Bombyx mori: one gene and its partner. The main gene of each other region encodes a partner of the protein of the gene in region 2 in a complex. Links are inferred from orthologs where the notes say so. Each region holds a gene or a part of one and is shown on either strand. Other genes may lie near its edges.

Region 1 (5,485 bases), on a different chromosome or scaffold from region 2:
ATAAAAAATTAATGAAATGTTGTTGACTTTTCATAATCCTAGGTAGAATATTTTTAAAACTGTAAAATAATAATTGAAAGACATTTTGTTAATTTTAATATACTTATACACATATAAATAATAGTTGTGCCAAATTTAATACCGTTCGTAAAATTACGGACTTAAAAATTTCCAATATTTAAATTATTTTTTGTCTCTTTCGTTGTGTTTGTAATGTAAATTAAATAAAGTAAATTTGTAATAAATATTCCGGCATCAATACCTAATAGTATAGGGTCCTTAGGAACGGATTCTTTGTAAGTAATTTAAAAATAATAAACATAACATATTTTCAACTCCTCTTTTTATTTAACAAATGTTAAATATTATCATTGAACACTTAAAGTGTGTAGTAAATTAAAAAAAAATACGTAATTGTCTATTTGACAAATTGGTCAAGTTATTGGAGATCTGTTTAATGAAAATTATCACACTCATAATTAGTTAATCATATACAAATTTTGCATCTATCTAAATTGTTCTGTTTTCGTGTTTATTTTGACAATAATGTTAATAATTGATGTATTTTTGTGTATGAATTTGTTATATTTATAAATAATATTAGCTTCCTTGTTAATCTATGTAATTAAATTAGCTAGTACACTACTAATTTTATTAAATGCCTATAATTTTTAATTGTTTTTTTTTTCAAAGTATATCATGAGCCTTTTCACACATCTATAGATCTTAGTGTAGGAATGGTAGGTAATAAATACGACATCGATGTTGGGAGAAAAACATGGTAAGGCGGGTACTAACGTCTAACGAAAGACCACTGTTATTTACAGCATTGGTCTTCCGTCGTGTGGGGTACGAACTGCTTGAATTGCTTCCCTTTTATAAATTATATATTATAAATTATTATTATCTATGCTGTTTTCATTCATGGACTGAGGCTCTTTAACAAGTTTTCCCAAGTTACCACAAGTTTCTCCCATTTAATCTACATGGGTGCCACTCCGGGAAGGACCGCTTAATTGCTGGGGATGAGATTAAATCCTTTATCGATATCCTGTAAAACAATTGTGGTGACCTAAAGAATAAGATGGACAGACAGACACAAATGAACGAGTTTTTGGCGGAAACGCCAGGACCGAAGTTGTGTGTATTGTTTTTTATTTAATTTAGTGTTTCTTCAGGCTTAAAGGCTTCGTCAAACAGAAAGCGTAATTAGTGCGCGTCAGAGCGCTACGCTATGACGCCGAGATGTGTTGTACTACTATACTATGAGCGCTATAGCGCTGGCGCTCTGTTTGACGGTATAATACCGTAGTAGTACAATACATCTCGGCGTCATAGCGCGGCGTTAGTTTAGCGCTCTGACGCGCGCTAAGTACGCGTTCTGTTTGACGAAGGCTTAAACGTGTAGTAATGGTGCTTTAATTACTGTTTTGCATCCGTAAAAGCGCATGTGGGAAAATGAAACAGTCGCTTGACATGGCTTTTCGGACTCTTCCAAAAAGTCCACTAAAGTCTCTTTAAATAACTGTCATTTTACTGTGACTTTATTTCATCCCATCTCACCTCATTTTATTTAATTTCATCCATATAATCTTTCCCTTTACGTTGTTTTTCATTTAACAGAATATAAAAAAAAATTGTCTGTATGAAGTGATACTTTCGCCTTTCATATTGAAAAATGGAATTATTACTGTCATTAATGTCATTTTCTGTTAATTTGAGGTTATAAATTGGGATTAATGTAACGGAAAAAACACTGTTAGTTCATAATAACAATGAGTGAAAACATAGCTACGAACCTTTTCGAGGCCCAAACGATACATGCCGATCACAAAGACCTTATTCACGATGTCGCGTACGACTTCTACGGGGAGAGAATGGCCACTTGTTCCAGTGATCAATACGTAAAGGTACATTCTTTATATTATTTTTAATTAGAGTACGTACCTTTGTTTTACGTACGTATAGTTGTAAAACGTGGTAAAATGAAATTTTTTTAGTCTTCTGGTAATTCACGAAAGCTTTGTTGCTTCGTAGTAATAAGCAATCGTGAAAGTTAATAATTTGGAATATGTTATTTTTTATCTTAGATATGGGACACAGACGGGCATGGAGGCTGGCGGATGACAGCGAGCTGGAAGGCTCATCACGGCTCTGTTTGGAAAGTTACATGGGCCCACCCAGAGTTTGGACAGGTCATTGCGACTTGCTCCTTTGATAGAACAGCTGCTATTTGGGAGGAAGTGGGTATGTGGAACCATTTGTTCATACCATTTAGCATTAAATTTATTACTTTTTCTAGATGAGTTGTTTTATAATATATTTTATGTATAATTAGCTGACCTGGCAGACTTCGTAGTGCCTCAATCAATAAATAAACTAAACTTTTGTATAAAATAAACCTAAAACAAAAAAAGGAATCCTTCCGGCGGGGGACATATTAAAGGAAAACAAAATTGTTATTTTTATTTAATTCTGAGCATTTTTATATTTAGCTACCTTTTAAACTTTCTCTGGACCTCTACAAATAATACAATACCAAAATTAGCCAAATCGGTCCAACCATTCTCGAGTTTTAGCGAGACGAACGAACAGCAATTCATTTTTATATATATAGATTATAGTATATTCTTGTAAGTTTTAGCCACAATTTACCCATTTTTTGCAGAATGTAAGGTGTAGGGTGCCTGCTTTTCATAGTTTTGCATCATGGTACATTCAATGTACTTCTGAAAGCTTTCATTAGTTTTTTGTGTTTGGGTAGACAGACTGAGATCTTAGATCCCATATCACTTAACATGAGGTGGGCTGTGAGCTCGTCCACCCACCTAAGCAATAAAAAAATTACATTCTAGGAAACCTAGCTTGGAAGTTGCAAAATAATATAAATTTTAACAGACATAAAGTGTGAAAAACTGTGACCAAAGAATGGCCTATTTAGTCATCACTAGCACCATCACTAGTCATGCAGAGATATACACAAGCCAAGTGCAGAATAGTAGGAGTATATAGTTCAAAATGATTGGTTCAAATAAATATGTATTCAATATTGTATTCAGGTGACACCACAGCAACAGGCTCTGAAAAGAGTTTACGTACATGGCTGAAGCGGTCAAACCTCGTTGATTCAAGAACTTCAGTAACAGATGTTAAATTTGGACCTAAACATTTAGGTCTACTACTAGTTACATGCTCAGCTGATGGCATTATAAGGTATTATGTTGATCCATAACACTACACATCAGTAAAACCTCCTGGTACTACTTATTTCAAGCATAAACTGATAGCTACTACCACCCTGCCTATTTCTGCAATGAAACAGTCTCGTTTTCTAATTTGTAGGCTGTTTTACTAGATGGTTAAGAATTTGGGTCTAAATGTGAGTGATGATTTATGTAACAATATTGGCAGCTACTAATGTAATCTAAGCTGTAAGCATTACCTGGTTTTCTACATTTTCAACAATTAAATTCAGCTAATTACCATTTTTCATTTGAATTAATTCTGTGTCGTTCTAGATAAATAGTTGACCTCAGAATCCACATAAGGCTATGTTGTTACTGGTATAGCAATACTGCTCTTCATCTTCTCACTTTAATCTGTTTGAAGCGAAAACAACATTCTGTTTGATTTACAGAATATATGAGGCTCCGGATGTGATGAATTTGGCACAATGGACCCTCCAGCACGAGATACCGACGAAAGTTTCAATTAGTTGTTTATCATGGAACCCTTCATTGTCTAGGTAGGTATGTATTTTTATTATAATTGGATGTAGCAAATAGCCCATCTGATCGTAACTGGATATAGTCACTTATGGACAACAAGTAGTCAACAACAACAGTCAACAACAACAACAACAATAATAACGTGTAGTCAACAAAGAGCTCTTTTAAGTCCCCAGATACTCATAAAACAGCAGGGAATTTAGTTTAGAGGTTGAAAGTGAGAGTAAGAGAGAGTTTTTGGGAGCAAATTGTGTTTTTACTGTGTAAAATAAAACTGTTCTGTTGGCTTGTATTAGTGACTTTTTTATAATATCTTCAATATTGCATTTTTTTTCTAGGGTAGGAAACCCACCAATGTTGGCAGTAGGCAGCGATGAACCTAACACAACAAATGCCTTAGCATCAGTACCATCTGATAAGAGCACAGCTTGTAATGGAAAAGTTTTTATTTATGAGTAAGTATTAATTTATATGTTGTAATCCATGTATTAAATATACACTTTTACTTTTATATGTAAATATCTAAAATACTTATTACTTGAAATAATGATAATTCTAGACAGTGACTTGGATGTGCCCCTGCCATTGACAATGTCTACTGTTAGCAGTGATTTAAAACTATCAGTTTTTGTATTGTATTTGTAGTGAATGTAAACATTTGGCTTCATTCATTTACTTGATAGATTTGCAAATTTTTATAGTTGTCTATAGCCCAGGGAAGATTTTTGTCATAGTTTGGAGAGTATACGACAAAAGGAAGATATTCAACCGAGCGGGTGACAGACAGTCCGAATGTTGATGTTCAGAACTTGTATATATGCAAGTTCCATTCCCGATCCTGCGGACAGAATGGAAAGCAGTCGACGTCGCCCCAAACACGTCATTTCGGATCCTCCCGATCCACTAACGGTGCTTTTAGGTACCTCAAGCACCGGTCATTGTTCTCGTCGAACCCGTCGCTTGCGACGAAGGGCTCGACGAGTAAATTAACCCTCAGACACAGCCCACTGAGTTTCTCGCCGGATCTTCTCAGTGGGTCGCGTTTCCGATCCGGTGGTAGATTCTGCGAAGCACGGCTCTTGCTAGGGTTCGTGTTAGCAACGTCATCAGGTTTCAGCCCCGTGAGCTCACCTACTAGTTAAGGCGAAGCTGATATAGCCTCTCAAGGCTATCAGATTAGGTGGGAAAAAATAAATAAATATGCAGGCTTATCTTGAAAATGTCGTAAGCCAGATTCAGGCATCTAGCAAATATCTTGTGTTCTGTGATGGCTACCCGCCACAATGGTACCGCTGTGTACGTAATAAAAACTCTTATGAAGCTAAACAAAAAAAATTAATTAAATTTGTGTTCAGATACAGTGAAACGTCTCGTCGTTGGACGCGAACGGACTGTCTGTCATCCGTCCAGGAGCCGGTCAACGACCTCGCCTTCGCTCCGAACCTCGGCCGCTCGTTCCATCTCCTCGCCGTAGCCGCCAAGGACCTGAGAATCATTAAAATCGAACCACTTTCGTGAGTACTTTATTATCTTGTCATTGACATGACTACAGATGATGCAAAGTGTAAAATTTCCGTTAAAATTCACAGAAGGGCCGGTAAGCATATCGACGCTTGAAAGGCAAACGTGACTAAGCGACAATAACTGCTTTGTACATAAATGATAGGCAATAACCGTATTCAATGCGCAAAAAATATATATTACTAGGTCTATTAAAATAATTTCAATCCTACAGCTAGATTCGTTAAAATAGATTT
Region 2 (4,763 bases):
ACACATCTTTGTCAACGCAGAAATAATAATACTGTTCATGCGTTCTACTTGGCCATTTCCACGAGGTATTCCAGTAGTGATTGTAACATGTTCGATGTCTTCTTCTTCACAATATTCTCGGAACTCACTGCCTGTGAATGCTGTACCTCGGTCAGTGAAAAGTATGTTTCTGCTCAATGCATCAACATGCTGCTTAACTAACTGTTCTTCAGTGATGGCTAGTCGTCTTGGTCTTTGTGAAACTGGTACATCATCCTTCAACACAATCTTCAGCCTGATAGGTGCATCTTTAGTCTTCAAAGGTGTGTAACTGTCAATAATTTCCCTCACCGCTGTACACTGGTCATTGCTACTAGAAGATAGACAGATAGCATTTTGATACGATATGTCATAACAAGGAGGCCTGACCTCAACCAAACCCTTGTCAATAACTGTGATAGTATTTACTAAAAATTGTTGACCCAGTATTACATCATATGGTATTCCACCTGTAGGTACAATATACAAATTAATACTATATCTGTGACTGTCAATAGTTAAATCTGTGTCGAACTTACCAATCGAATATACCTTAGAGCTTCCTAACCCAGTAAGCAACATTTTTTCTGGTATGTACTCGCATTTTAGTTTTGTAAACAAATCAAAAGTTATTAAATTTAAGTCGCTACCTGTGTCAATTAAACAATTAGTCACATAGTTACCAACTTTTACTGATTTTACACTCATGTTTATAGAATCACGTTTGTTTACATTTAATAAATTTGACGAAACAATATGATTTAGTTGTTGACAACTAAAATTTGGCATATCACTCACTTGCTCTTTTAAATCGCATTGCTCACGTTCGTATAGTTCGTTCTCGTTCTTCTCGTCGTCCTCCTGCTGTCGAACAAACATAGATCGCCGATCTTGTTCATCACCTCCTCCATAATAATTATTTGATGCTTTTTTAGCTTCCATACCTTGTGATGCGCGGCACTCCGTACCCTTGTGCCCGAACCCGTTGCACTTGAAGCATTTGATACCTCTGCGGCAGGAATTAGATAGGTGCCCTCTTTCACCACAATTGTAACATCGATGAACCTGTCTAGGCATTACCGCCGTGTCTCGCTGACCTCGTCTCATGGTATCAACACTTTTTTTGGACTTCTCTTTGAAACTTTCATATAATACTAATTTCTCCTTGAGCACAGAATACGACGTTACCCCGTAAAATAACAACTTGTTAGATTCATAGTCAGATATTCCGTCGATTATATACTGAATCGCGACGTAATCCGGAAACTTAGCTCTTTTTCCGAGTTCTTTCATTACGAGCATATATTGATAAAACGACTCATTGGGTTGTTTTTTCCGTCTGCTCATTGTCTCATGCATTTGTTTACTGTTTATCACCTCAGGGAATTCCTTCATCAAAGCCACTTTTAGTTCTTCGTAACTTCTGAAAGTTTTTTCGCTTTTTAGCCATAATTCTGCTGTTCCAGCTAAACATCGTCGCGCTATAATGAGTTTCTGCTGCTGGCTCCACCCAAATATATCGGCATTATCGTCGAGATCTTGTGTCCACTTCGCAGAAGAGTACGTGATGTCATCACCCGTGAACTTTGGCACAGCGTCCATCGTGTAAAATAAATTCTTGCTATCGTCGTTTTTGCTCTCCGCCATCGTGCAGAATCGTCGTATATCGTCGTATAAATGCGTCTTTCGTCTTTGAAAAATGTAACCGGCGGCGTGGCGTCGGCGCAGGTTAAGTATGGCGGCCGCGGCGTTGTTCACACCACGCGACAACTTCGTAAAATATGCGTAGATACGTTAAATCATTTAGACCCTGATATTCCTGAGTATCCCGGGCGAGAAATTGTAGGTGTGGGTCTAAATGAAATACTCTTTTCTAGGGTTTCACAATACTTTTTATTTAATTCTTAGAGAGCACTTTGAACACGTCTTACTCCTAATGGCGGCGTCGTGCGAGAGAGCGAACTAGAGCTACATCCGTCCCTTTCACACATCATGCGTTCAGAATCTTTCACTCGTTCAGAAATGTTTTACAATAATTAGAAATGTTAGTAATAATTAAATAATTAAATCCTACATATATATAAAACCCATTTGGTGAACTGTTAAACACCTGACAAGCATTTGTGGCAACACATGTCACTATGAATACAGTAATTTTAGTTTCAGAATAATTAAGAGCAGTGGTACACGTACAATCATTATCTTACAACCTGCATGGACGTACAAAATACATAATAATATGACATTTTCATAAATATAAACATCATATCATAAAATAACTCATAATATAAAATATAAACATAAAATATAATTCTTTTGTGTGTGTGTGTATGTTAGTGGACTGTTCCCAAACGTTTGAACGATTTTTGTGTGTATTCAAGTGGGTTCGGGAATTGCTTAGATTCAGATTCAATTCAGTATTGTAATAACTTCTTTTTGTAAATTTTTTTTCAAACCGAAGCTTATTTAAAAAAGTTGGTAATTTTCAGATATAAGACGTGTGTACAGGCCGTCTGTTGGGTTCGCTAGTATAGTAGTAATTAATATATTTAAAAAAAACTATTTATTATTTAAATGTCGCGATGATTATTTTCATTTTACACTTTGCCAGTTTTCAAAAACTGGTTTTCATCATTTTTTGATCATGGACTAATAAGGTACTAATCGTCGAAATTGAATTTTAATCAATATCGTATACATGGCTAGTTACGGTTTTTTCTTTTATCGCTCATCATCATCATCATCATCATCAACAGCCCACAGTCGTCCACTTCTGGACATAGGCCTCTCCCAATCCACACCACTGAGCCCCGTCTACGGTTCTCCATCCACTTCTTGCCGGCCACCGTTCGGAGGTCATCGCACCACCTAGCCAGGGGGCGTCCCACGTTATATATATAATACTTATACCTCGGGCAGACGCTGCAGATGGGTAAACACAGCTTGGAGAGGGAAGTCAAGAGAAGCATCCAACTGGGCTGGGCGGAGTTCGGCAAACTGCGTGGAGTCTTTTCATCGCACATCCCATAGTGCCTGAAAACGAAAGTTTTTTTATCGCTAAAGTGATTTAATTTAATAGGTCGCCGTGGATTGGTTTTCAGACAAGTCCGCAGGCTACGACGCGGGCAGTGACACAACGGACTCGCCGATGTCGACGAACCGACTCTCGCCGCGCAGTTCGATATCTTCAATCAAGCCCGTTATCAGGACGGGCAGGGCACTCATCAACCCCTTCGATCCCTCGCATGTCACTGTCAAACTGACCAGTAACCGTCGAAGGTGGACGCATATATTTCCGAAAGGTTAGTTGAAGTCCCTAATTCAATTATTGACACCTGTCAAAGTCATTTTTACCGGTGTGAGGGCGTCTTGTGAACTCGTACGCGTATGTATGAGTCAAAGTACGAGGTAGGTCAAATGTTATGCCAATACGAGTAACGCCATCTGTTAGAAGTAGCGAAAACGATTACCGAAACTACTAGTAAGTACTGTCTTTACTTTCTGGAAATTTTCTGGAAAATTTTAGGTATGTCATCTAAATTGCAAAAGCGTTGAATAGATATAAAGTTTAACAGCTAACGGAACACCAGAAATGAAGCGACAGTAGTGAATTGTGATCTTGAAGTCTACATTAAGTGCCGGCATAATTGAATGAAATTGTTATTAGTATTTTGGTGAATTATATTATGTATTTTGAACCACAGTGTGTAAAAATAATATATTGATGTTGTGCCTTTGAGGTCCGATAAGCACTTACCACCAGATGGATCGTAATCTCATTTCCCCATATATTAATAAAAAAAATTAAACTAAAACCGAACGTGATCCTCAGACCAAATATAATGCAATTAAAATTCTCAGGTCCAACTGGCGTATTGATACAGCAACATCACTACCAGGCCCGTCCCGCTGGCGAGCCGGCCCGCAACGAAGAGCATCGCTGCGAAAGTAACACACCAAAGGATAATGGTTCCTCGATATTAAACAACAACCATTCTATATATCAGGTTGACGGTGAGTGTGCGCAATGTGCGTCCGACCTAATCGCCTTCAATGAAGGGCTCGGCGAGTAAATTAACCCATAGACACAGCCCGCTAACTTTCTCGCCGGATTTTCTCAGTGGGTCGCGTTTCCGATCCGGTGGTAAATTCTGCGAAGGACTGCTCTTGCTAGGGCCAGTGTTGCAACACTTCCGGTTTGAGCCCTGAGAGCTCACCTAAACGCTAGAGTGAAGCTTATTTTTTTATTGCTTAGATGGGTGGACGAACTCACAGCCCACCTGGTGGTTACGCGCCATCCACCTTGATACATAAGTTCTAAGGTCTCAGTTTAGTTACAGAAGCTGAAATAGTCTCTCATGGCTATCAGCATAGTTAAAAAAACCGAACCTAATGGATAGATATCAGTAAACTAATCTATACCACGGTATCTAGGAATGTTTGTAACGTTTTTGTAACAGGCAACATTATGTCGCGGAAACGCATGATAAGTGCGTCAGGAACGTTAGCCGTGCTCGGCGTGTCCGGGGGGACTCCCTCCACGACCAACAATGCGTCGCTCGCGCTGCTGTGGGGGGCTACGGGCGAACAGGAGTGGACCCCCGCTCTGACGACAGGTCGGTATAAAATTTATTCAATTTTCATTTTGTGTGTTTTGCGTGATGAGATTGGCTTCATAAAAAATGCTATAACTTATCTCAAATATAATGGGTTTTTTTTAAATTGCATTTATAAAATTGTTAACG

What was found. Proteins that work in one complex are often made in the same cells at the same time.
Region 1: GATOR complex protein Iml1 (region 2) and sec13-like protein share a complex: the UniProt entries of both Drosophila melanogaster proteins name them as parts of the GATOR complex. The link is inferred for Bombyx mori from reciprocal best matches to the Drosophila melanogaster genes Iml1 and Nup44A.

Annotation. Positions count from the first base shown.
Region 1 is NC_085125.1:13,431,181-13,436,665, forward strand, and holds the start of sec13-like protein, read left to right. Parts: upstream 1-1,728; 5' UTR 1,729-1,775; coding exon 1,776-1,910; intron 1,911-2,090; coding exon 2,091-2,247; intron 2,248-3,059; coding exon 3,060-3,213; intron 3,214-3,637; coding exon 3,638-3,745; intron 3,746-4,066; coding exon 4,067-4,183; intron 4,184-5,083; coding exon 5,084-5,242; intron 5,243-5,485. UniProt on the Drosophila melanogaster protein: Probable component of the nuclear pore complex (NPC). Involved in maintaining the localization of another nucleoporin Mgtor to the nuclear envelope of early meiotic female germline cells.
Region 2 is NC_085116.1:10,877,181-10,881,943, reverse strand, and holds part of GATOR complex protein Iml1, read left to right. Parts: intron 1-3,119; coding exon 3,120-3,320; intron 3,321-3,879; coding exon 3,880-4,032; intron 4,033-4,478; coding exon 4,479-4,634; intron 4,635-4,763. UniProt on the Drosophila melanogaster protein: An essential component of the GATOR subcomplex GATOR1 which functions as an inhibitor of the amino acid-sensing branch of the TORC1 signaling pathway.